2 linked regions of the Mytilus edulis genome follow. The protein of the gene in region 1 binds, or shares a complex with, the protein of each later gene. Links are inferred from orthologs where the notes say so. Each region holds a gene or a part of one and is shown in the gene's direction. Other genes may lie near its edges.

Evidence for each region.
Region 2: the proteins of rab5 GDP/GTP exchange factor-like (region 1) and ras-related protein Rab-21-like are in contact, whole or in part, in a crystal structure (PDB 2OT3), measured with the Homo sapiens proteins. The link is inferred for Mytilus edulis from reciprocal best matches to the Homo sapiens genes RABGEF1 and RAB21. Residues at the interface, in NP_001273991.1 of Homo sapiens: Leu253, Cys254, Lys296, Phe299, Asn300, Lys303, Pro309, Ala310, Ser311, Ala312, Asp313, Phe315, Leu316, Pro317, Ile320, Leu347, Met348, Thr349, Gly350, Glu351, Gly353, Tyr354, Tyr355, Thr357, Asn358, Cys360, Cys361, Ala364, Phe365, Ser373; in NP_055814.1 of Homo sapiens: Ser19, Phe20, Lys21, Gly26, Glu27, Gly28, Lys32, Thr33, Leu37, Thr50, Thr51, Leu52, Gln53, Ala54, Ser55, Phe56, Ala71, Trp73, Asp74, Thr75, Ala76, Gly77, Gln78, Arg80, Phe81, Leu84, Ile87, Tyr88, Asp91.

Annotation. Positions count from the first base shown.
Region 1 is NC_092349.1:73,077,939-73,089,506, forward strand, and holds the start of rab5 GDP/GTP exchange factor-like, read left to right. Parts: upstream 1-5,658; 5' UTR 5,659-5,790; intron 5,791-7,028; 5' UTR 7,029-7,045; coding exon 7,046-7,227; intron 7,228-11,568. Other genes in the region: uncharacterized protein, read right to left, coding at 879-984, 1,755-1,855. UniProt on the Homo sapiens protein: Rab effector protein acting as linker between gamma-adaptin, RAB4A or RAB5A. Involved in endocytic membrane fusion and membrane trafficking of recycling endosomes. Stimulates nucleotide exchange on RAB5A. Can act as a ubiquitin ligase.
Region 2 is NC_092353.1:62,762,784-62,775,091, reverse strand, and holds the start of ras-related protein Rab-21-like, read left to right. Parts: upstream 1-7,006; 5' UTR 7,007-7,206; coding exon 7,207-7,344; intron 7,345-12,308. Other genes in the region: TBC1 domain family member 15-like, read right to left, coding at 1-78, 978-1,079, 6,314-6,421. UniProt on the Homo sapiens protein: The small GTPases Rab are key regulators of intracellular membrane trafficking, from the formation of transport vesicles to their fusion with membranes.

The DNA of each region.
Region 1 (11,568 bases):
TCGAGGGTTTTCAAGTTCTCAAACAGGAAGGGATAGGATGACAATTGTTTTTGTCAGTCAGATACGATTTTACTCGTATTAACACATTTTTTGTCGGCGATTTTCTGTATATAGCTAGCGATTGAACAAAATTGACATCGCTGTCATGAATAATAATGATTAAAACAAGTTTTGAGATCGTTTATTTGGAGACTTTGGCGAAAAGGTTTGCAAAGCTATTTTTTATTTTCTTTCAAGTGGAACTGAGACTACTATAACTGTGATATAGTTGTCTCAGAGTGGAAAGCCCGTCGGGCGTGGCTAGTAACCAAGTCGAAAGTGGAAGGTCGCGTACCTCGGACCACCGCTAATTTGAACCCCTGCCTCCAAATTGAAAAGATACGAATTTTGTCTTCGTATTCTAATTTAAAATTGCCGCCAACAGCATGAACAGTTGAACTTATTATATAATAGACTACTGACGTAGTTGTACTACGTATTGACGACAAACAATATTCCTACGACGTTTGCCATTTGGGAAATCTAAACTACTTGTCTTAAAAGATTTTCGGCGATTAAATATTTCGTACAATTGTTTTTTGACATCTTAGCCAAAAGCACAGGCGATAATAAACTACATAAGAATTCCTAATGAGCACTACTTCCTATGTGCAACTTCAAAAGTTTTGGGTGATTCGACGATCATTTAAGGTTTTTCTAGTCATATTTTTTGTAATCCAGAATTAAAAGTATTAAAAAAGTGTTCAATTAGTTATATATAACATAGTAGCCAGCTAGATAATAACAATGGCAAGTATTTCAGCATTTATTGGGTAGACCACAAATCTAGGGTGCTCGCATAATGCAGATTAACTGCATAAAAAAATCATAATAATTACCTTATGTATATCATAAAATGAACCTGTGTCATCTGAAGACTTGATCTGTTTAATAGCAGTAACCAATGCAGCTAGTACCTCCGTCGGGGGTTTGTCGGACTGCCATCTTCATTTAAGAAAACAAATGCTTCATCAAAATTTTATCAAGTCTGAATCAAACATGTGAACCCGATATGTAACGTTCAGGGTCGGACCCAGGATTTTTTAAAGGGGTCGGAATTGTGGCGAAAAGAAGTATCGCCGAGTGGAGGGGATATTTTTTTGGGACAATTTTATGCTTAAAAGTAATATATTTCCCAATCAAATGTGTGGCCTCTACCTGTTGTTATTCTTAAAAGTGATATATTTTACCAAAAAAAATCAGGGTTTACCACACTGTTAATTACTTAATCATTTGCTAAGAAGAAACACATTAATGATGAATGTGCATAGAGTCCATTGTCTTATGATCAAACTTCCACTTCTTACCCATTTCGCTATAATACTTGCATTTTATGTTTAGATAAAGCATAGCAGATCTTAAGGGAAACGGTTCATATGGGGGAGGGGGGGTAGGGGGATGAAAAAAAACCAATACTATGTAATATAACATCCTTTCTACTCTTCTGGATATCCTCTAATCATGATGCACCTACATGTTTACAACACAAATCCGCCATAGATTAGGAAATTACAAAACTTGCCTTAGATTAGGGTTAAAAAATCTGCCATAGATTTGGAATGGCATGACGTCATATTTACCATAGATTAGGAATCTGCCATAGATTTGGAACCCACCATAGATTTGTGTCCTACATATATACTAAAGTGATTATTCACTGCAAGGTATGATTTGAACGTTTAGGCAAAAAGTCTTTACAATATTGCTTAACTCACGTCACAAAATGGCTGTGTATATTTTTTATGCCTGGAATCCACATCGCAGGTCGAAGTAAAGCCTGCAGAGGCGCCTGCAACATACTGGGTAGAGTCACCATTTGTACTAAGTTTGTGTATGTGTTAAGGTTTACATCTCGAACACAAGTCGACAGTTTGATTTATTTCAGACTACTGTAAAAGAAAAGATCTTCACTGATATCGATATAAATTGTACATACATTAAAACAACATATTTCATTTATAAGTGGAATATAACGATATTATATCCAGAGAGGTGTAGTGTATATATATCTTCTGATCATAAAGGGAGAAGTGTAGTGTATATAAATGATAATGTCAATGAAACAAAATAACCAAAACAGAAAATCGAAAATAAAAAAGGAAAAAAAACCTATAATATTCAAACAGATATTTGAATCCATATCACAAATGGTTAAAGTCTAAGAGAAGCGAATGATTTTAAAAAATACTACCATAGATATGTTATCGTCAACATAGAAATCCGCAGACGATTGATTGATTGTGTGGTTGATTAACTTCCAGTGGCAAATATTTCATGTATGTTCAAGACAAGAGCCGCTGACAATGCTTCTTACTTGTGCATGTCAGCTCAGGTGCATTTACATGTCAAAGGTTAAACTATAGTTTTATGAAAATTGAAGCTACGACCACAGGAATAAGAGAACACACCAAGGAAGAAACATTACAATAAGAGAACAATATGTGATCATATGTGCATAACGATGATATAATTGTAAATGCGTTTTACAATTAGCAAAAATGAGACTTGACGGGTATTTCTTAAAACTTATTTGCTTTGTAAACAACATTACCGTTGAAAACTTGGTATAAAATACCATTTTCGATTTGATTCTTGCAAATCATTAGTGGTATCATACGTAGATGAGATTTTAGAAAAATATATATATAGTCACAAACATGCAGATTTCTTGAATTTGTTGAAAGACTGCCAACAAAAGAGACTTGTTCTGTGTTTTGAAACTGCTATTGTAGAAACATCACAAAAAGGCTATCTCTGTTTTTCGATGATTTTGAAAAATGTCGAAATTAGGAATACGATGAATCCCCCTACTTCCCTTTTCAATTTTTCTGAATCCGCGATTGCTTTCATGCTGCTTTCGTTTTAGTTAAGACTGAAAGAATAAGATTGTCATGTTTCTTATTTTGGATAGTTCACATAATATTTAGGGGAATTTTGTTGTTTATTTATTTTTCTCTAGTGGACGAATAATCCAAGATTTTAAACTAAAGCACTTTTTTTCTATGTTAACATTTATTGACTAAAGTTTTTATTAACGTCATTTATCTTCGAAATTTGTTAACCAGATCATACGTTCATATGTTGGTAGGTTTTTTTTTAATTTGGTTAAACCCACTACTTTCATGCAGTCGGAATAGTCTGTGCACGTGAAAATTATAACAGTAACTTTTAATTTTAAGGTTGCACAATGTCCTACCAAATAATTTAAAAATAAATTAGAAATGGTCAAGATATCATATATTGACATTTCAATATCCTATCTTGCAAATCAATATAGCTATAAAACTGGGATGAACTTTCTTCTTTTTGGATTGGCTTGAGAAAAAAAACCAACCCTGACAACTATTACGATAGTTCTTTCCCTTCAACATGTATTTCTTTCTCCCATTTAGTCCTGAATTGGTAGTCCGATACTGACAGTGTTGGTTTTTGTTTTATTTTTAATCAGAGCAATGTAAATTCTAAAGCTAACACACATCAGATTGGATTAAGCTTAACCCCCAGGAACGTGACCTTTGGACTGGAAAATGCGTGAGAAAAACATTATTGAAGGCCGTAGGGTGACATATAGTTCGATTCAATTCAAAGAATTTATTGTTTAAGCATTCAAACAAAGGGACTTGAAAAAAGGCTCAGCCTGTATAAATCCTTTCCCATACAAGATGGACAGAATAATAATTGACTATTACATATACGTCAATCGTGTTGATTCATACATCATTTAGTCTCACACAGTGAGTCAGGGGAGGGAATTTACAAGAAATTTTATGTATGCATTCATAGTGTGTTAAATTACGTTTTTTGATTGAGTTAAGCCTTCCAATTGATATTTTATCGTGTGTTTTTCTATTTTGTGATGTTATACATGTTATACTATTGTTTCAGAAAAAGGGAGAGGTTTGGTACCATTAAAACGTATAATCCCGCTGCAAATGTTTGCACCTGTCCTTAGTCAGAAATCTGATGTACAGTAGTTGTCGTTTGTTTATGTAATTTATACGTGTTTCTCGTTTCTCGTTTTTTTTTTAATATCAATTAGACATTTGGCTGTCCCGTTTGAATGGTTTTTCACGTCTAGTAATTTTGGGGCCCTTTATAGCTTATAGCCAAGGCTCCGTGTTGAAGGCCGTACATTGACCTATAATGGTTTACTTTTATAAATTTTTATTTGGATGGAGAGTTGTCTCATTGACACTCATGCCACATCTTCCTATATCTATGTTTTAATAATAAAAGGTAGCACTCTATTAAAGAGGAATGCATAGTGTTTTTATGATATTATCAGACTCACTGTGTCAAAATATTAATATATTTAAGTACAGCTATTTGATGTATCACCTACATTCAAGACATTTACCTTGATATATATTGTAGATATAATTTATATATATTTTATGACCTATAGTTGTCAATTTCTGTGTCATTTGGTCTCTAGTGACGAGTTGTCTCATTGGCAATCATACCACAACTACTAATTTTGATATTTAAATATTATTATAAAATATTTATACACAAATACATGTACTTTTGAAAGATTCTATCCTGGGTCAATTTAAAATTCTGACGTTATAATGGAGGAGAAATAAAATAAGGTTCCTACTTGAATGTCTCTAAATTGGTTCTTACTTGAAAACAGTTAATATTTTTTTCGTTTATGATCTCGTTTTGCAACCTATCCTTGACTTCGTAGACCCATTATATTGATTGTTGATTGCTTAACCTACAGTGGCAAATATCACATGCATGTTCAGGACGATAGACCCATTAGATATGAGGTTATTATCTACAAGTCCATCTGTTACCATATGGTACCTGATATTGTGCTAATGTATGTCTACTTGCATAAAAATAGATTGATACAACACTAACTTTACAATCATTTGTGATAACGAAAAAAAAGAGATAGAATGGCATAAATCTAAAATAAACAATACACATTATCTATCCAAATAGTGAAGCAAGCTTCGATCTCTATTAATAATTTAACATTTAGGTCGACACCTAAATAGGGGGAGGGTTTCCTAGTTCAGCATGTTCAGAGTTACATAACTTATGGAAAAAATGTTATGCAAGAGCGATGTAATTCGTACCTAAACAAGATGTGTGACAGATGAAATAAACCAATCATTGTTAAATTATGAAGATTAGACTGAAATAAACACACATGATATTAAAAATAATACATAAACAATGAGAAATGTCAGAAATACAAACCTATACTATAGCCACCTTGGCAACTTGAGGAGGCTCGACGGTACTGACATAAAACTGAACTCTGATTATGCATAAGCAATATTCCAAATGTAATCATTGTCAGATCTGTGCCAAACTTTGATTCATCGTCATATACATATTTTGTTTATAAACGAATTGAATGAGCATTACTTACGTTTTTGTTTTCCTCAACTTTCAGTTTCACTTTGAATCTGCCACGCCCCCTTTGTTGAGAGAAGATAAATACAGGTTACTGAATTACTAAAGTAAATAATCAATACAACAATTGAATTTTATCTGAAACTAGAAAGGTGTCGTGTTTATCATATGCAAATTGTTTTTATGTATTTTCTCCTTAATTTTGTTTCAACGATAAGTTTTAATGGGACATAATATATATTGTTATTTTAGTTTGCGCGTAACAGTTAGCTCCCCTCCCGACCTTCACCTCATGAGACGTTCGATACAAAAAGAATGATCTTGTGACAATAATTGAGTTATGTGTCATTTATAGATATTTTAAAGCTTGATCAACAGGTAAAGCATAAGTAAATCTTTTAAATGATAATATTATCAGGTAACTCAACATTACATTAACTCAAAATTGATGGTTTTCTTCCACAAAAAGCTCTTTATATTCTCTCCGTCTAGCTGGGAATGAAAAAAACCCAAACAAACAACATTTCCATAGTACTTTGCATTGCACTGTGCAGACTTCATGTATAAATATTATAGCTACGTGCATCAGACATTAAGTATAATAGTAATTCATATCAGACAGTTCTATGCACTTTTGCCCATTTTATGATTTGTTTCTAGACTTTCTATTTCAAGCAAGCTTTGACTACCATCCATATGCATAATTATCTAACAACTAGCATGGATGTTTATCTACATCAAGGACATATAACTAACATAACTCTAATATGTGTCCTTGTCTACACCAAGGATTTTCAAAGTAATGCCTAGTTCATGCATTGACAGATTTGACACTGGATTACCAACGGATCCGATACAATCTGGCATCTTTTGTCTGTTCATGGCAATCTGTTATGGTCGTATATTTCCTTAGCATAGTCGTAGTCATGTGTACTAGTGCTTGTGTATCTGTAACAATTTTAGCATGCACCAAATTTGACAGAGGATCTAACAACCTAATTATATCCTTACTAACCCGTATTAGAATGTACTGATTCCTTTTATTCCTTATTTAAAACAACTGTATTGATCCGTTCTTATTAGTAGGCCTGATTTCTACATTTTTTTTCAGAGAACTAACATGTATGTGCAAGTATGGTTAGGGATACAATATGGTTTGTTACAAATTTGTCATGAAATGGGAAGCTCTCGCTACATTGCATTATGTACCAATAGCTAGGGATCAGCCAGGGTTCAACTTCAGTATAAATATTCTCTACTTTAACTTATAGGGCCAAAGTAGTCTCTCTTTTCGCTAGAGGTATACATAGCATGAACTATCAACTGACATGACTGATGCTTGCAATTAATTGGTTGGAATAGGATATTAATATGACACTAAATGACAGAACAGTGGTCGAGCTACAAAATACTTGATTACAGACAAAGAGGCAACTTAAGGCAGAGATTAAACTTGCAACAGGATAGTTTTCACATTTAACAAATGTTTAAAATAATTAGTTTCACATTTTGTCACTTGTGCAACAATCACAGTCACTTACATGACTTAATAAACATGATGAATGCACAGAATAATTTCAGAATAAATTTACAGTATCTCCTTGATTTTATTTCAGTATAGTTACAGCACAGAATGAGTGCTACTGTTGCAAAGAAAGGTTTCCATCTAAATAAAGATGACCTGTTGTGTGACAACGGTTGTGGTTTCTATGGGAACCCAAACTGGCAGGGATTTTGTTCTAAATGTTACAAAGAGGTGTACCTGAAAGCAAAGCAGGCTCAGCAGGACCATGATGAACAACAGCAATCCAAGAGGTATTTAAACACTTTTATGGTATAAAATATTTGGTATTTATGTCTTGTTGGTCCTCTCACATGTCTTATCAATCATGACAATATTTAGACTTAGAGGGCTTGTTAATTTGGTTTAAAACCATAACATTTTCTAGTACAATGTACATGTATCTGTCCAAAATTATGGGGCCTCATTGTTGGTTGTTCTCTGTCACATCTTGATATTTATAGCTTTCAGAGATTTTGGTTTTGATGGCAGATCTTTGGTTGTTTCTGTTGAATTGATTTACATCATTTATAGACTTACTATTACATTTATGTACATGTATTATTAGAGCTTTCTTACAAATTGACGAAAGGTACAAACGAACGTAAAGGGAGCACGTATTTCATTCCTACAATAACAGTTAAAAGAGTCCTTGTTTTATCCAGTAAAACAGCATTCTTTTCTAAATCATGTTTATTTAAAAATTAAAAACAATATCGCAAATAATACACGATTTTAATTTAATTAAACAGAGAAATAGTGTCAAATACACTTATGTCCGATACGTTACATGTACTTACGTAAACCACGAGTACACACATTTCCGCGGGAATTTTTTAAGCACGAGTTGCACGATTAACATTTCAATGACATTATTGAAGTACGTTAGTCTAAATTTAACAACAAGATTCACATTTATTTGTATTTGTTACAGTACACTTTCAGCAAATTGTCAAAGTGGAATATCGAGATTTGCTAAAAAATGATACACATGTTTGGAAGATAGACGCGAAGTTGTCACTTATCGTCCAGTGGCTAATATTTCATGAATGTTCAGGACTATAGGTAAAACGCAGTTATACGCTAAAATAACCGTCCATTGCTCCGGTGTATCATATATACACATTTAGGGGGGCAATGAATATTACCAGAGGAGAGGCGATGATTCAAACGTTATGAAACGAGCAACAGTATATGGCATATAGTATGAAGATCATCTTTTTTTCTTCATTTTCATTTTATTATTTTGAGCGTTGCAAATTTTGAATCAAGGAAGTATTTGTGTTGTTGTTGGGGAAAATACAATGTATTTTCTTTGACATTTTCTTAGGTTAAACTGTGCAACATTGTAATATTGAAGAGTTGGAGAGGGGCCAGTTTTTGGAAAATGACGCAGTCATTGTTCCATTACTGCCGACCTGAACTTCATTACATTTCTCTGCCTACCGCGCTTGGTTTCGTATTTACTATTTTCCATACAAACTGGAATCTGCTTGTGTTATCATTATGCATGATCATTGTGTAGTTATCAGCCAGGAACCAGTTTACACTCGGTTTCATATTTACTATACAATCTAACTGGTTTCTGCTTGTATTCCACTACACTCGAACAAAGTGTTGTAGTTTGACGGGAACCAGTTTAGAATTTGTAAACTACAAAATGTAATCGGTTATTGTTCATTCCGTTTTGGTGTTTCATACCGACTTATATGGTTTGAATAAGCTTAAGACCCTTCAAACATTAATGTGATAGGTATATTAAAGACTGTTTTACAAAAGGATGGAACTGTTTTACTTTCAAAGTCGTACTATAGTGATATCTGTCATGTACGGATTTCCACTCTCACCGGTTAATTTCTTCTTTTACACGTGCTTTTGAAACTTCCTGTTTAAACATCGCAAGTTTCAAAATTGTTATTTGAGTGAATTAAGGTTTATGTACCCTTCTGTAGCCATTTTTGTACGAATTTTTCAAACCTCAATTGTATCAAAACTAAAGATATAATAAATAATAGAGATAGGCCATTTAGTACATGTTCCAAGGGGAAACTTGATGCAAAACATTATTTTTTACTGTTTCATTGCATTTGATAGAAAAAGAGGACTTTGTGGCAAATAAATCAAGATTTTTATAGAAAATCCACAGCCTTTAATACAGAATTTTTTGTTATAAAATTTGAAACATAAATTACTCACTTGATTTTCTATGATGTGCTAGTGTTTATTTTTTACAAAAAGTTCTAAGTAACCTGTAAATTCCAAAACACCTCGTGCTGAGTCACTAAAGTCGAGCGCACCCTAAAAGGTGTACTTGATTTTGGCCATATTTATACTTGTCTTAACCAATAACTACATTTATAAACTTGTTTTAAGGAAATCAATGCTAGCACTGCATGCAATAATCCTATATCTATCAGTCATCAAATTGCCAAATATGAGAGTACAAGGATAAAGGCTGTGGATTTTCTATAAAAATCTTGATTTATTAGCCACAAAGTCCTCTTTTTCTATTAAATGCAATGGAACAGTAAAAAATAATGCTTTGCATCAAGTTTCCCCTTGGAATATGTACAAAATGGCCTATCTCTATTATTCATTATATCTGTAGTTTTGATATAATTGAAGTTTGAAAAGTTCGTACAAAAATGGCTACAGAAGGGTACATAAACCTTAAACTTATTTTTACAATCATGAAGCGTTCCAGAATCATTTTCAAGCAGTTTCTTCTTCTCTTTGATGATGGAAAATAGGTTTTCTCAAGAAAATACCGCAAACGATCGCAGAGGAATTGAAACGTACAAGTCAAGTCGGCACCTGGTTAAATTGGCATCTAGTCAAATCGGCACCTATTTGACGTCAATTCAGCATCCAATAATATTTGTTATAATATTTTCTATTCAATTAATTAATAACTGTTACCAATTACATAGTGAATATGTTGTTGTGCATTTAGGTAAACAATTAAGGAAACCAAAGTGAATATGTTGTTGTGTATAAAGGTAAACAACGAAGCCCTTACCCAACTGTTGTTCTAACAATAGACAATTATCAAAATAAAATGGAAAACTATGAGTCCCTTTCAATAAATCAAACTTTCATGCCAAATAATTAGCAAATTTAAGGTGTTTTTTTTTCAGTAAAGTTTAAACAGCATTAAACCAAAAATCCCGTAAAATGCTCAACTGGTTAAAATAATGCATAAAAATATCCAGTATCTCATGTATTAGTCCAAATAATTATGACGTCTGGCAAGGATATTTTATTTTTTTTCTGGGACGCCTTCCTACGACGTTCGTAGGAAGGCGTCCCAGAAAATAATTAACATAGCCTTGCGGTCATAGGAAGGTGTCCCAGAATAAAATTAAAAAAGCCTTGCCAGACGTAATAATTATTTGGACTACTCATATATCTATAATACTAAAATTATGAGGTCCAATTTGTCAGCCGTCATCACGTAAAAACGACGAATCAAAGAATTCAACTTTATATATATAACTAATATAGTACTAAGGTGTAGATTAAAAATTACACCACTCCAGGCCCTTTTGTTTTCCACGTAATTAATATTGCCAATAATTAAGAAGTTCCGGGTCGAGTCCGACACCGATACCAATAGTATATTCACCTGTTACCTATTACCTTATCAGTACGTTCCGCATCTGACAGGCGCACCAACAAACGGTGTATTCAGGATTAGTATGCTATATACACGGGTCATAATCACAGGGTTGACACTACTAAATTGTCGAATTGTTACATATTGTAGTATTTTAATCAGTAAGACTTTCTAAGATAACATTACGAATACTAAAAATCTGGACTAAAAATAAGGCGTATAGGTACAGTTTTTAATTTGTTAGCGGGCATGACGTAAAACAGCGAATCAAAGAATTCAACTTTATATATAACTAATATAGGATAATGCTGTTGATTAAAAAATACGGGCCATTCCAGGACCTTTTGTTTTCCAAATAATTAATATTACCAATAATTGATAAGTTCCAGTTCGACGGGTTCAAACAGAAAGATTTGAAAGCAGAGAAAACTGTGTATCTTATAATCGGCATGACTTTATCAGATGACAATACTAATACTAAAATTATGCTTGCGCATGGTTATATACTTTAATTCAGTCACGGACCCGAGATATCACGGGTGTGTTCTAGTATTACATTAAAAATACACCAAAAAAGTCATTTAGTTGAGAAAAAAAAATATATATACAAAATGTACATGAACACCCAAAAATGTGAAAGTTAGTATTTAACTCTTTTTGCTTAAATACTGAAAAAATTCTGGCAACCCCTTTCTTATTTTTACTCTTTTTGCTTAAAATACTGTTAAAAATATATATTTAACATGGGTGACGAATTGACTATATCAGGTGTCGATTTAACCAGGTGCTGATTTGTCCAGGTGCCAATTTAACCAGGTGCTGGTTTGACTAGAATTCTTTGACAAATGTTTGAAATTACCTGAGTTTCATTAGACCTTTGATAACAGTAACAAAAAGATTATTTACTTAATATTTTGTGGGAGAAGGGGGTTCAGACTGTTGTATCAGGTCTGTTCGCGCCCAATACACTTTCGTACCC
Region 2 (12,308 bases), on another chromosome or scaffold:
AACAGCCCATTCTTGTTCATTCTGACCATCTACCTGTAGTATCTCTTCTGCTTTCCATTCTATAAATGTCCCTTCAGGCTGAAATTTAGAACCATCATGTTAGAAAACACAAATTCCTTATCACACAAGACAACAATTCAAAATCATATTTTTGTGAATCTTTTTCAACCAAAATTTTTCAATTACTTTCAATATGTAGTTAGTATATATTACTTTCAACATATATATTATATGTTAGTATATATTATGATTTGGTTTTTGTATATATTTCAAACAGTTAGACAAAGAATGATGAATTTATGATGAACACCATAAAAAAAGGGTGATGTCAGGTGCACAAAATAAATCTGTAGTTAGTTTCATTAGATAATGTCACAATAAAGGAAATGAGGAGGAGATAAAATACAGATAAAATACTATCATAATTTCTTTTGAACTTATCAACTGTTTTAAAATGACTACTGTCTTTTCGTTTCATAATTATATTACATGTATGTTTCATTTCGATACATTATTTGATTGGCCAACAGCAATCTCTTGTCATTCTGAATTTGACCTTCATTTCAGAATAAAATGCAACATTCATTTTGACACCAGCTTCCACAAAAAAGTGCATAAGTAATTCAAAGAAAAACTTGATGGAAATCTTGTTTTCATGATCCTAGCAAAACAATGTAATCAGAAGTATTGAATGCTTTTTTGGTAATCTTTAAGGGTTGAAAAGGTGTTGACATTTTTTTGTACATTAGTTATTTTTCTCCTTTTAATTGATTTACAATTGCCATTTCAGGATGTTTTATAGTTGACTATGCAGTATGTGGTTTGTTAATTGTTGAACGCTGAATTGTGACCTAGTTGTTAATTTCTGTGTAATTTGGTTTCTTGTGAAGAGTTGTTTCATTGGCAATAGTACCACATATTCTTTTTTATATATAATATTCTTTATTAAACCAGCTTCATTGGTACAACAGTTTTACCTTTTGTATTATAAACACCTTTCCTGGAATGTGTGCATCTTTGTCTGAATGATGTGAATTCACATTAACATGGATGAAAACACTATCTTTTTCAAACAACACCTACAATAAAAAAAAATATACAAATTTAAAGCTTCTACCACAAATTATATACATGTATATGTTTATTTATATGTAGTTCTGTACACTCACATCAAATCTAATCATATTGATGTGACATGAAAAAATATGTAAAATCTTAAATATACAACATTTTGTACAAAGTACAGTTTGATAACATGTTAAAACAAAAATATCTTTTGCAGTAAATAAAGAAGACAGGGTTGACCATGTCAATTATACACAAAGATTGTTTAAAAAGATTTCTAACTAATCTAATATAACAACAATTTTAATAGACAACTTTCATGACTATCATATTCATCTTGCCCTTTGTTTAAATTTCCCATAAAATTCCAACGTCACAAATCTTTAATGTTTTTAAGGCAAAGTAAGAACTGATTGTTCATTTACTTTTACTACTCATTCATTAAAAAACAAACTTGAAATTGGTGTGTTACAAAATTTTAAATCAAAATGAATAAAACTGAAGCAGAAGCAGCAAATTTAAAAAAGTAAGAAATCATCACAATCATGACAATAAATGAGTTCAGAAGATCTGAGTGATAAACTGATATTGTAGGACAAGAATAATTCAGAGTTTTCCTAATTTAGTTTTACAGTCTGAGTAGGCCCTGGAAAGAGTTTCTGAAGAATTCAACTGGAGTTGTTTAACATTGCAGTTCATGGAAGTGATAACAAATATAAAAATTTTCAAATTCTAACCTTCTTGGTTATCAAAAACAGAAATGCCTAGATGTTTAGTTTTCTTATTGTGATCATCATAAAAAAAACTTAGAGACATATTGCTTGTGATGATTTTAAGGTGCAGAGTTCTCTGCTTTCAACATATTTTTTGTTTGAACCCGTCTTCATTTTCTTACTACTTGAAGACCATTGTCCTATATAGTCATAATAATAATAATATAATAATAAATTCTTTATTTAAAGAGGGTAACTCAATTAGAAATAGTCTAATTTTCATTGAGGCCCTCAAACAAAATACATGCATACAGTTAACATTCATACATTCATACATTAATTTACAATATATATTACTAGTATATACACAATTCAATCATTGAAATATACAAAGGGTAATAAATGACAATATTTGATATAGTTTTGTTAAAGGAAAACAAATTAGTTGACTTGCATATAATTTTCAAGAAAATGATTATAACTATGTTTCTTGAATAATTCCACATTAGGACATTTTTTTTATTTCGAGTGGTAAATTATTCCATACTTTGGTTGCAGAATAATGAAAAGATTTTTTATAAAAATTTGTATTTGGTCTTGGAACAAAAAGATCATTATTAGAGACAGATCGTAAGTTGTGGCGTTGCACATCATCAATATTTAGTATTGCTAAGTAATCAGGTGTTAGCCCATTTACAATTTTATACATTAGAATTGATTGTTGGTATTTTATTCTTTTGGTAAAAGATAGCCATTTTAAAGAAGAAAACATGAAATTAGATGGAATAGAAATATCGCATTCCAGTATAATTCTTGCTACTCTTTTTTGAAGTTTTATGATTCTATCTGAATCTTTTTGTAATAAATTTCCCCAAACTGAACTACAATAGTCCTTATATGGTAGAATATATGCATTATAAAATAGTTGCCTTGTGTGTATTGGCAAATATACTTTAATTTTATATAAAAGTGATACTTTAGATGAGATAATTTTACATATACGATCAACATGATCTTCCCAGCTTAAATTTTCATCAATGTCTATTCCAAGTAATTTGAAAGAACACATGAAGAATGGACATTCTCAATACATGTTTCGTTGACGGTAATACATAATTCTGATAGTTGTTTAAGTTTTTGTTTTGAACCCAATTTCATACACTTAGTTTTTTGTGCATTGATTTTCATACTGTTATTGTTACACCAAATCATTTTGCAATATGCTGTTTATTTTTTCAATGTCATGACTCATATATAAAGAAAAATTCTTTATTTGTTGATTTGAAGTCATGCCCTCTAACAAATTTGACCTCTTCATTTACCTGTACATGTACATGTAGGTACAACAATGTAGTATCTATAGATACTTGATATCTTTTAAGGCCAAATAAAAATACATGTATATGTGTGGTTCCAGTAACCCTACCGTCCCTACTTTTTCGGCTTAAAAATAGCCTACCCTAAAGATTTTATTGTCATTTTTCATTAACCCTTTCGCCGATGAGTCCCGGTTTACCGGGATCGGAATACCTCTTTTATGTTTCCCGCTCAAAACAGTGCAAACATGAGTTATCTTTCTTTGATGAATACCTGGATGAAAGTGTAAACATGGCGCTTTCGTTTGTTGAAAACCGTGTCAAAATCAGACGAAATTTACGGAATTTACGAGAATTTGAAATGAGGGAACATTTTTTATGAAAGAATATGGAAGAATTGAAGACAAACTAGTATACTTTTTTGACATAAAATGTCGTTTTATGTACAAAACACTTGGAATGGACATCGTTCAGTGTGAGGAATTTGTACAGCCTCATAAAATTTTTCAAAATTTTGCCCTTTTGGGTGTAAAAATTACGATTTGGGGTTTAAGAGCAGAATTTTGAGAATTTCACCAAAGATAAAGCTGAAAATTTGAAAATTTGAATATTTTATGAAGAAAAAATTATCAAAACATGAACAGAACTGTGAACATGGTGTTAGTGAATGAAATAAATACACAAATAACTACAAACAAGTTTTTATTGACATATATTATGAAGATCTCCCACTTGAGTAATAGTAGCCTGGGAAGCCATCGTCTCAGAGTAGCTTAATTCTGTCTGGGCAGCAATCAGTGAAAGAGTTTAGCACTGTTAAAGTCAGAATGTTGCTCCCTTAGCTTTCGGGTCGATCCGGCCCCACGTCGATCCAGCCCAAGTCGATCCGTCCCACGTCGATCCGGCCCATATGTAAAGTCGATCCGGCCCCAATAAAAAAAATTATTTCAAGGAATAAAAAATAAATATATATTATTGCGAACCCTATCTTAGTTTTCCATAGATTCACCTGCAAGTTACCTGTCCATTTAAACTTTTGGCAGTTCTATTGTCCCATCTAACAAATACAACAGGTATTGTTATCTGTGTAGTTTATTCACTGGGACCTTTAAATTTCTTCCAAGAGAAATATATCACTCATTGATTAATTTACCTGAACAAAAAATTGAACTGTTAATGATGAAAAAATACTTATACCAATACTAAGTAAGGACTCTCAAAACTGCATGTGGTATTGTATTTATTCGATACCTGGAGTAACTCGTTTTTAATGTGTTCAATATTACATTTATAATACTGATTCAAAAATTAAAAGTTGATTTCTGATCAAATATTCAATATTTTTGTGTGTTTGATAAATAAAAATTTGAATATTATTATTTTTAAATTAAGGTCTTCATAAACATAAGTCTATAAAATGAACAACAACAAAAACATGTAAATTCATTGGAAAATACTAAAAAATGTGTCTGAAATAAACTTTTTAGTATTAAACCAGATTTTATATTGAACAGATTGAAAATATATTAATGATAATATTGAATAAATACAATATTGCATACAGTTTATGTGAGTTATTAGAAGTATTTCAATAAAAAAGAAGATAATTTTTTGGTCAGGTAAATTAATCAATGAGTGATATATTTCTCCTAGAAGAAATTTAAAGGTCCCAGTGAATAAACTACACAGAGAACAATACCTGTTGTATTTGTTAGATGGGACAATAGAACTGCCAAAAGTTTAAATCGACAGGTAACTTGCAGGTGAATCTATGGAAAACTAAGATAGGGTTCGCAATAATTGTAATTCATAAATGTTTATTATTTTTATTATAATATTTATTATAATAAAGTAAAAAAGGCCTTTGAAAAATATTTTCTTTAGATGAGTATAAAACAACTAGGTTGATTATGTCTTTATTACAAGTTTTCAAGATTATTGGGTATAATTATATTAAAACGTATATATAAGAATTCAGACATCAACATTAATCAGCAGTAATTAGCATTTTCTTTCAATTGACTGTGATCCTAACAAGTCTTTCATCTTGTGTAACATGTATAATAACAAATAGTTACATACATGAACGGTACAAGCCGATCCCCAAGCTGATACATATAAACTTTGTTTTTCTTTTTAAGTTCTTAAAATTTCTAAAATTGAGAAATGTTGTTTGATTTGCCGGATCCTTTCTATAAAAGAGTGCTGATATTATATTTTAGAGAGTGAAAACGTGCATTCAATGTCATTGTTTTGTTATTTTCTTGCAATAAAGAATAATGGATACTCATATGACTTTTTGTTTATCTACACTATTCAAAATATTGTCGAAATAAGAAAAATATATTGACTATATCAGATGTTACAAAAAAAAAGTGTTATAGAATAGAATATTTTTATATGTTATAGAAGCCTATGATGTAACCTAAAAAAAAAATACAAATAATTATTATAATATACACCAACCAGAAGATCAAACTATAAAGACCTCGTTGAAAAACAGATTACGTAACGTTAATTAATCAGCATTGGATTGAATTAAGTGATTACAAGTGGCATTACCTTAGTTCACAATCATCAGACAACTGTTGAATAAACAAACCAATTATAGACTAATGATTTTATTAAATAAGTCATTATTATGCGTTAAATTTTATAGGTCCATTGGACTGTAAATATTTATTTAGCTACATGTATTCTGTGTGTCAACTGAATAAAATAAAAATCGCCATGAAATTCAAAGTGAAAGTTATGGAAAATTACTTCATAATTTTAAAATGTAGAAACTGCGATACAAACAGACACAATAACACTAATTTTCGTATGGATTTAAAATAGTTCGTTAACTGGTACTCCAATACTTCACTGACCTGTTGTCATCCATCATCGATCGGACACTTTTTTCAAATTCAATTTATACTGTTAAAGTTTGTGACAAATTCCTCCAAAATCTAGTTAATTCATATTTTTTTATGGGTCGGATCGACTTTGGGACGGATCGACGTGGGCCGGATCGACTTTGGGCCGGATTGACTTGGGGCCGGATCGGTTTGGGGCCGGAACGACCGGATACCCTCCCTTAGACTCAATGTAAAAAAAAACCATAAAATAAAAAAAAATACCTACCTACCTACCCTAACTTTATTTTCAGATGTAACTGGAACCACACATACTTTCTTATTTGGCCTAAGTGAAATATGAAAACAATAAGCAACTCACATCTGGCTTTCTCTGTTTATTTCTCATCATTCTATGATGCTTGTATTTATGATTGTACTTGTTATATCTAGATCGAAGACCAAGTTTCACTTTAATTATTGGGTGCATTTTAAAGATGGTGCCTTTAAAGATTTATTTTTGAAGACTACAGCTTTGCTTTACAAGTTAAGTCATTCAATTTCCTACTCTTATAATCATGTGTTATTTACCATGACTTACTCATTCTTATTCCAGAAGAATTCTTAAAATAACCGTTTACGGATGTACATGTGACATATGACCAGATAATTTTGAAATACCATTCATGACTGATGACACTGAACTGCTGAATAGTGAATATTGTTTTGTATCTTGTCATAACACTATACCCTACACTGCTGATCATCAAGTGCTAAAGGAGGGTTATTCTATACGCTAGAACACATTATGTAATTATTTTACCTGTGATTGTGTTGCCATTTCTATATTTATCTAAACAGTCGATTTCTGACAGAATGTTTTGATTTTGTACATGACGTCAAATCACCTGTTGCCGCTTAAATCAATGATTATGACAAGGTTTATTTCGATTATGATTAAAATGTGAGAATAATATAGCATTGTTCTTTTCGCTATTAATTTGAATAAAAGTAATTTTGCTTTTCATTGATAATCTTGAAAGTTATCAAAGTGCGAAAAATGGATATGTTTACATTTGTCCATGATGTAAGGGTCTTAGCGGAACTTCCTCGTGACCTCCCACCATGACGTAAAATATAGAAACGCCATGTTGCTGTATTAAACAACGTCGGAAAGAAGTGAAAACACTGAAGACAATTTTATGTTACACCTTTTAACCTCTTTATGACATATACATACATAAACTGAAAACAAACTGTTAATAGGAACACACTATGGCTGGCGTTAACGCCGGAGGTGGACGTAATTCATTCAAAGTTGTTCTTCTTGGAGAAGGATGTGTTGGAAAAACGTCTCTCGTTTTACGTTACGTCGAAAACAAATTTAACGATAAACATTTAACCACACTTCAGGTACATAAAATTTGAAGCATGTATAATTTATTTGTTGTATGGTCACTTCGAATTCATGCATTGCAATTTGATTTCCAGTAGTAATTTTCTATCAATATCATTAATAAATTATATACCAATCATTAGAAAGGCAAAGATCATGACACTTGGCCAAAACACTTGTCTCCCTGCATACCTATTCTTTTCAGATCTGTTCACCAAAATTATTCTGTGTTGTGTTTTATACATGTTATAACAGTGACAGTTTGGAACTCACTACCAGCAACTAAAGCTGAGGCTCCCTCCTTGGTATCTTTCAAGAGGGAGCTTTCAACACTTTTTATCTAATCTGTGCAGTTCCCCATTTGCCAAGTAAGTCAAATGATGGACTGGAGCTGTGCCAGCTGGGATTATTTTTCCCTGGTACATGTACCTCTAGGGAAGCCGGATTGGTTGAGGCCAGATGAACGAATAGCAAATGGGACCCCCCCCCCCGTTTTCATACATTGCTTTACTATTATTATTTTTCTTTTTCTGTCATACTTTATACTCGCTTGTATATTCTTTGGTTATCTTACAAAATTGCTCTTTTTTTTGCGCCCATTGGAAGCTGTTTTGAGTATTGGTCAAGTTTGACAGATCAACGTAAAATGTCATGACATGTCAAAAAGCGTGTGAAAACGCGTGACGTAGATGCGGACTTGTTAATATGAATGTGGTGATGTTCATAATTTCATACAAATTGTGAATATAAAAAAACAATATATATTCTACTGTGAACTTTTATTGTATTAAAAAGTGGTCTGTTATGTTGCTTTTAAAGCACCACCACTAGGCACATATTGAAAACAACTGCCATTTCAAGTTTAGTTACATTTATTTGATAACAGCACACAATACAAATGTAACATAGTCAAGTTCTGATCAGAATTCAGTGTCAATTTCTTTATAATTGAAAAGGCTCTCCAACAGTAGGAATTGAAATTTGACTGAATTAGCTTTATCAAGATTTGAAAGAATGTCATGTTTTTTTTTATTGGCAATGTAAAATGTCATCTATTATCTCTGCCATTGCTATTGCCTGATTAAAACTGGGTAGTTCATCAGAAGAAAGCTGGTACTATGAGAGCTGATTCAACAGTTCTGTGATATTTTTATCCCCATATGCATGGCCTGTAGAAATCTGTTGCCGTGTTTGCTAGATTTGAAACTGAAATTGAAAAAGAAAAATGTTTTATAAATTTGATTTCCATTAGATAAACATGTTAAATGCTTATTCAAATAGCTACATTGTATTTCTCCTCTCGAGCTTATGCCATCACTTGGCGTCCGTCGTCGTCCGTCGTCTGTCGTCGTAAACTATTTCAAGAATCTTCTCCTCTGAAACTACTAGGCCAAATACTTCCAAACTTTAACTGAATGTTCCTTAGGGTATCTAGTTTATAAATTGTATCCAAAGTTTTGATCTATCAACAAACATGGTCGCCATTGCTAAAAATAAAACATAGAGGTCAAATGCAGTTTTTGGCTTATAACTCAAAAACCAAAGCATTTAGAGAAAATCTGAAATGGGATAAAATTGATTATCAGGTCAAGATCTATCTGCCCTGAAATTTTCAGATGAATCGGACAACCCGTTGTTGGGTAGCTGCCCCTGAATTGGAAATTTTAAGGAAATTTTGCTGTTTTTGGTTATTATCATGAATATTATTATAGGTAGAGATAAACTGTAAACAGCAAAAATGTTCAGCAAAGTAAGACCTAAAAATAAGTCAATATGACTGAAATGGTCAGTTGACCTCTTTAGGAGTTATTGCCCTTTATAGTCAATTTTTAACCATTTTTCGTAAATCTTGGTTATCTTTTACAAAAATCTTCTCCTCGGAAACTACTGGGCCAAATTGAACTAAACTTGGCCACAACCATCACTGGGGTATTTAGTTTGAAAATTGTGTCCGGTGACCTGGCCAACCAACCAAAATGGCCGCCATGGCTAAAAATAGAACATAGGGGTAAAATGCAGTTTTTGGCTTATAACTCAAAAACCTGAGCATTTAGAGCAAATCTGACTTGGGTAAAATTGTTTATCAGGTTCAGATCTATCTGCCCTGAAATTTTCAGATGAATTGGACAACCCATTGTTGGGTTGCTGCCCCTGAATTGGTAATTTTAAGGAAATTTTGCTGTTTTGGTTATTATCTTGAATATTATTATAGATAGAGATAAACTGTAAACAGCAATAATGTTCAGCAAAGTTAGATTAACAAATAAGTCAACATGACCAAAATGGTCAGTTGACCCCTTTAGGAGTTATTGCCCTTTATAGCCTTTTTTATCATTTTTCGTAAATCTTAGTAATCTTTTACAAAAATCTTCTCCTCTGAAACTACTGGGCCAAATTAATCCAAACTTGGCCATGTGTCCGGTGACCCTGCCATCCAAATAAGATGGCTGCCACGGCTAAAAGTAGAACATAGGGGTAAAATGTCAAAAACCAAAGCATTAAGATCAAATCTGACTGTGGTTGAATTGTTTATCAGGTCAAAATCTATCTGCCCTGAAATATTCAGATGGATCGGACGACACGTTGCTAGGTTGCTGCCCCTGAATTGGTAATTTTAAGGAAATTTGCAGTTTTTAGCTCACCTTTCCTAAAAGGAAATGTGAGCTTTTCTCATCACTTGGCGTCCGTCGTCGTCGTCTGTCGTCGTTAACAATTTTTCAAACATCTTCAACTCTGAAACTACTGAATTGATTTGTATGAAACTTAGCATGATTGTTCCTTAGATTATCCTGCACAAAGATTGTGCTTCGATTTTTGATCCGTCAAAAAACAATGCCGCCGTTACTTAAAATAGAACATAGGGGTCAAATGCAGTTTTTGGCTTATATCTCAAAAACTAAAGCATTTAAAGCAAATCTGAAATGGGGTAAAAATGTTCATTAGGTCAAGATCTATCAGCCCAGAAATTTGAGATGAATCCAACAACCCATTGTTGGGTTGCTGCCACTTAATTGGTAATTTTAAGGAAATTTTGCAGTTTTTGGTCATTATCTTGAATATTATTATAGATAAAGATAAACTGTAAACAGCAAAAATGATCAGCAAAGAAGGATCTACAAAGAAGTTAATATGACCAAAATTGTCAACTGACCCCTTAAGGGGTTATTGTCCTTTAATGACAATTTTTCACAATTTGTTCATCATATTTGCTAACTTTAAAAAATCTTCTCCTCTAAAACTACTCAACCAAATTCAACCAAACTTCATTTGAATGATCAGTAGGGTGTATAAAATAAAGTTTGTGTTTTATTTTCTATTTCGTCAAAAAACATGGCCGAAGGCATTGTTTACCAGGTGAGCGATTCAGGCTCTTGAGAGCCTCTTGTTTATCATTGCAACGTATAATGCACAAATTATGCGTTGCTTGTCACTCGATCATATAAACTCGAACTCCAAAATATAATTTATAAATCTTGAATCTTCCCGTACACAGCGTTTTGGCTTAACAATCGGCACTTTAGACGACGGTACAGGCCCTGAAAGTGACCTCTTTTTGTGCACATTTCCCCTATCAAGTGAATTTGAAAGAAAGTCACAAAATCGTTAAAACTAATCACAAACTTCTTACCTTTTACTGTTTGTCCATATAGAAAAATAAACAATAAGGCAGCCAAACAATTACTTCAAATTTTTCAGTATTTATCGCCGAATAAGGAAAAAACCCGAGAATAGCAATATCACTAACGACCAAAAAATGAAAAGAACGAAAAAGCGTGTAATTGCAAGTAAAGTGGTGGAAAGCGTGTACACGCCATGTGACAAAATCCTCGCGTGTAACTGTTGAAAAAGCGTGTATGACACACGAATATCATGTCACTAAAAAAAGGACGTGAGACAATATGGCCCAGGCAGAGACAACATAGACGACTCAGAATGTCTACTAGAAGGATTCTTTATGAACACAATTCGAACCTACTGTTAAATTCAATTCAAATCATCAATAAGTAAAATTGGACCATCTATGAAATTAAATGCCAACCACATTTGTAAGATCAAGTATGAAATAAGAGTTTTGACGAAACAAATGATTTAATCTGTCTGAAGAGAATTCTCTATTAAAGTTTCAATGTCTGGATTGATTATTGAAATGACGAAAAAAGACAGCTCAGTGTCTACAATGGACAACTTTGGAGTTCGATGCATATCCATCAAAAACTTTGGTTTAAATGAACATCATTCATGCATTAAGGGTCATTGCCACTTCGGTCCCCGTGTTGAGCAAGTGGTTGGAAAACTATAATGCTACATTGAATATTGCACTGTTCATTTGGCAAATTGCATTCTCATAAAATTTTGACAATCAGCACTGCTCTTATTAGGGAATTGTGATTATGTACATACAAAAAAACATTATTTTTGATGTTATCCTGCACAATGACAATCACTAAGACCATGAAGACGTTTGATGAACGTTAATAGTGCAGTGATACAGGCGATCCCCTCTAAATGGTATATAATTATGATGTCATAAAGGTGGGGCTTTGTAATGTTTTATTAAATTTTTTTTTTTAGAATAATTCAATTAACATTATATCGTCTTAACTGACTGTCAATTTAATTTGATAATTATCATGATTATTACAGAATAACAATTTTAAGTAACAAATTGATTAGGCCAAATAAAAAAGTATCTGTGGTTCAAGTTATATCTGAAAAAAAGTTAGGGTAGGTAGGTAGGGATTTTTATACGACCGCAAAAATTTTAATTTTTCGTCGTATAATGCTATCGCGTTGGCGGCGTCATCGTCGTCCAAATACTTTTAGTTTTCGCACTCAAACTTTATTAAAAGTGAATAGAAATCTATGAAATTTTAACACAAGGTTTATGACCACAAAAGGAAGGTTGGGATTGGTTTTGGGAGTTTTGATCCCAACGTTTTAGGAATTAGGGGCCAAAAAGGGCCCAAATAAGCATTTTCTT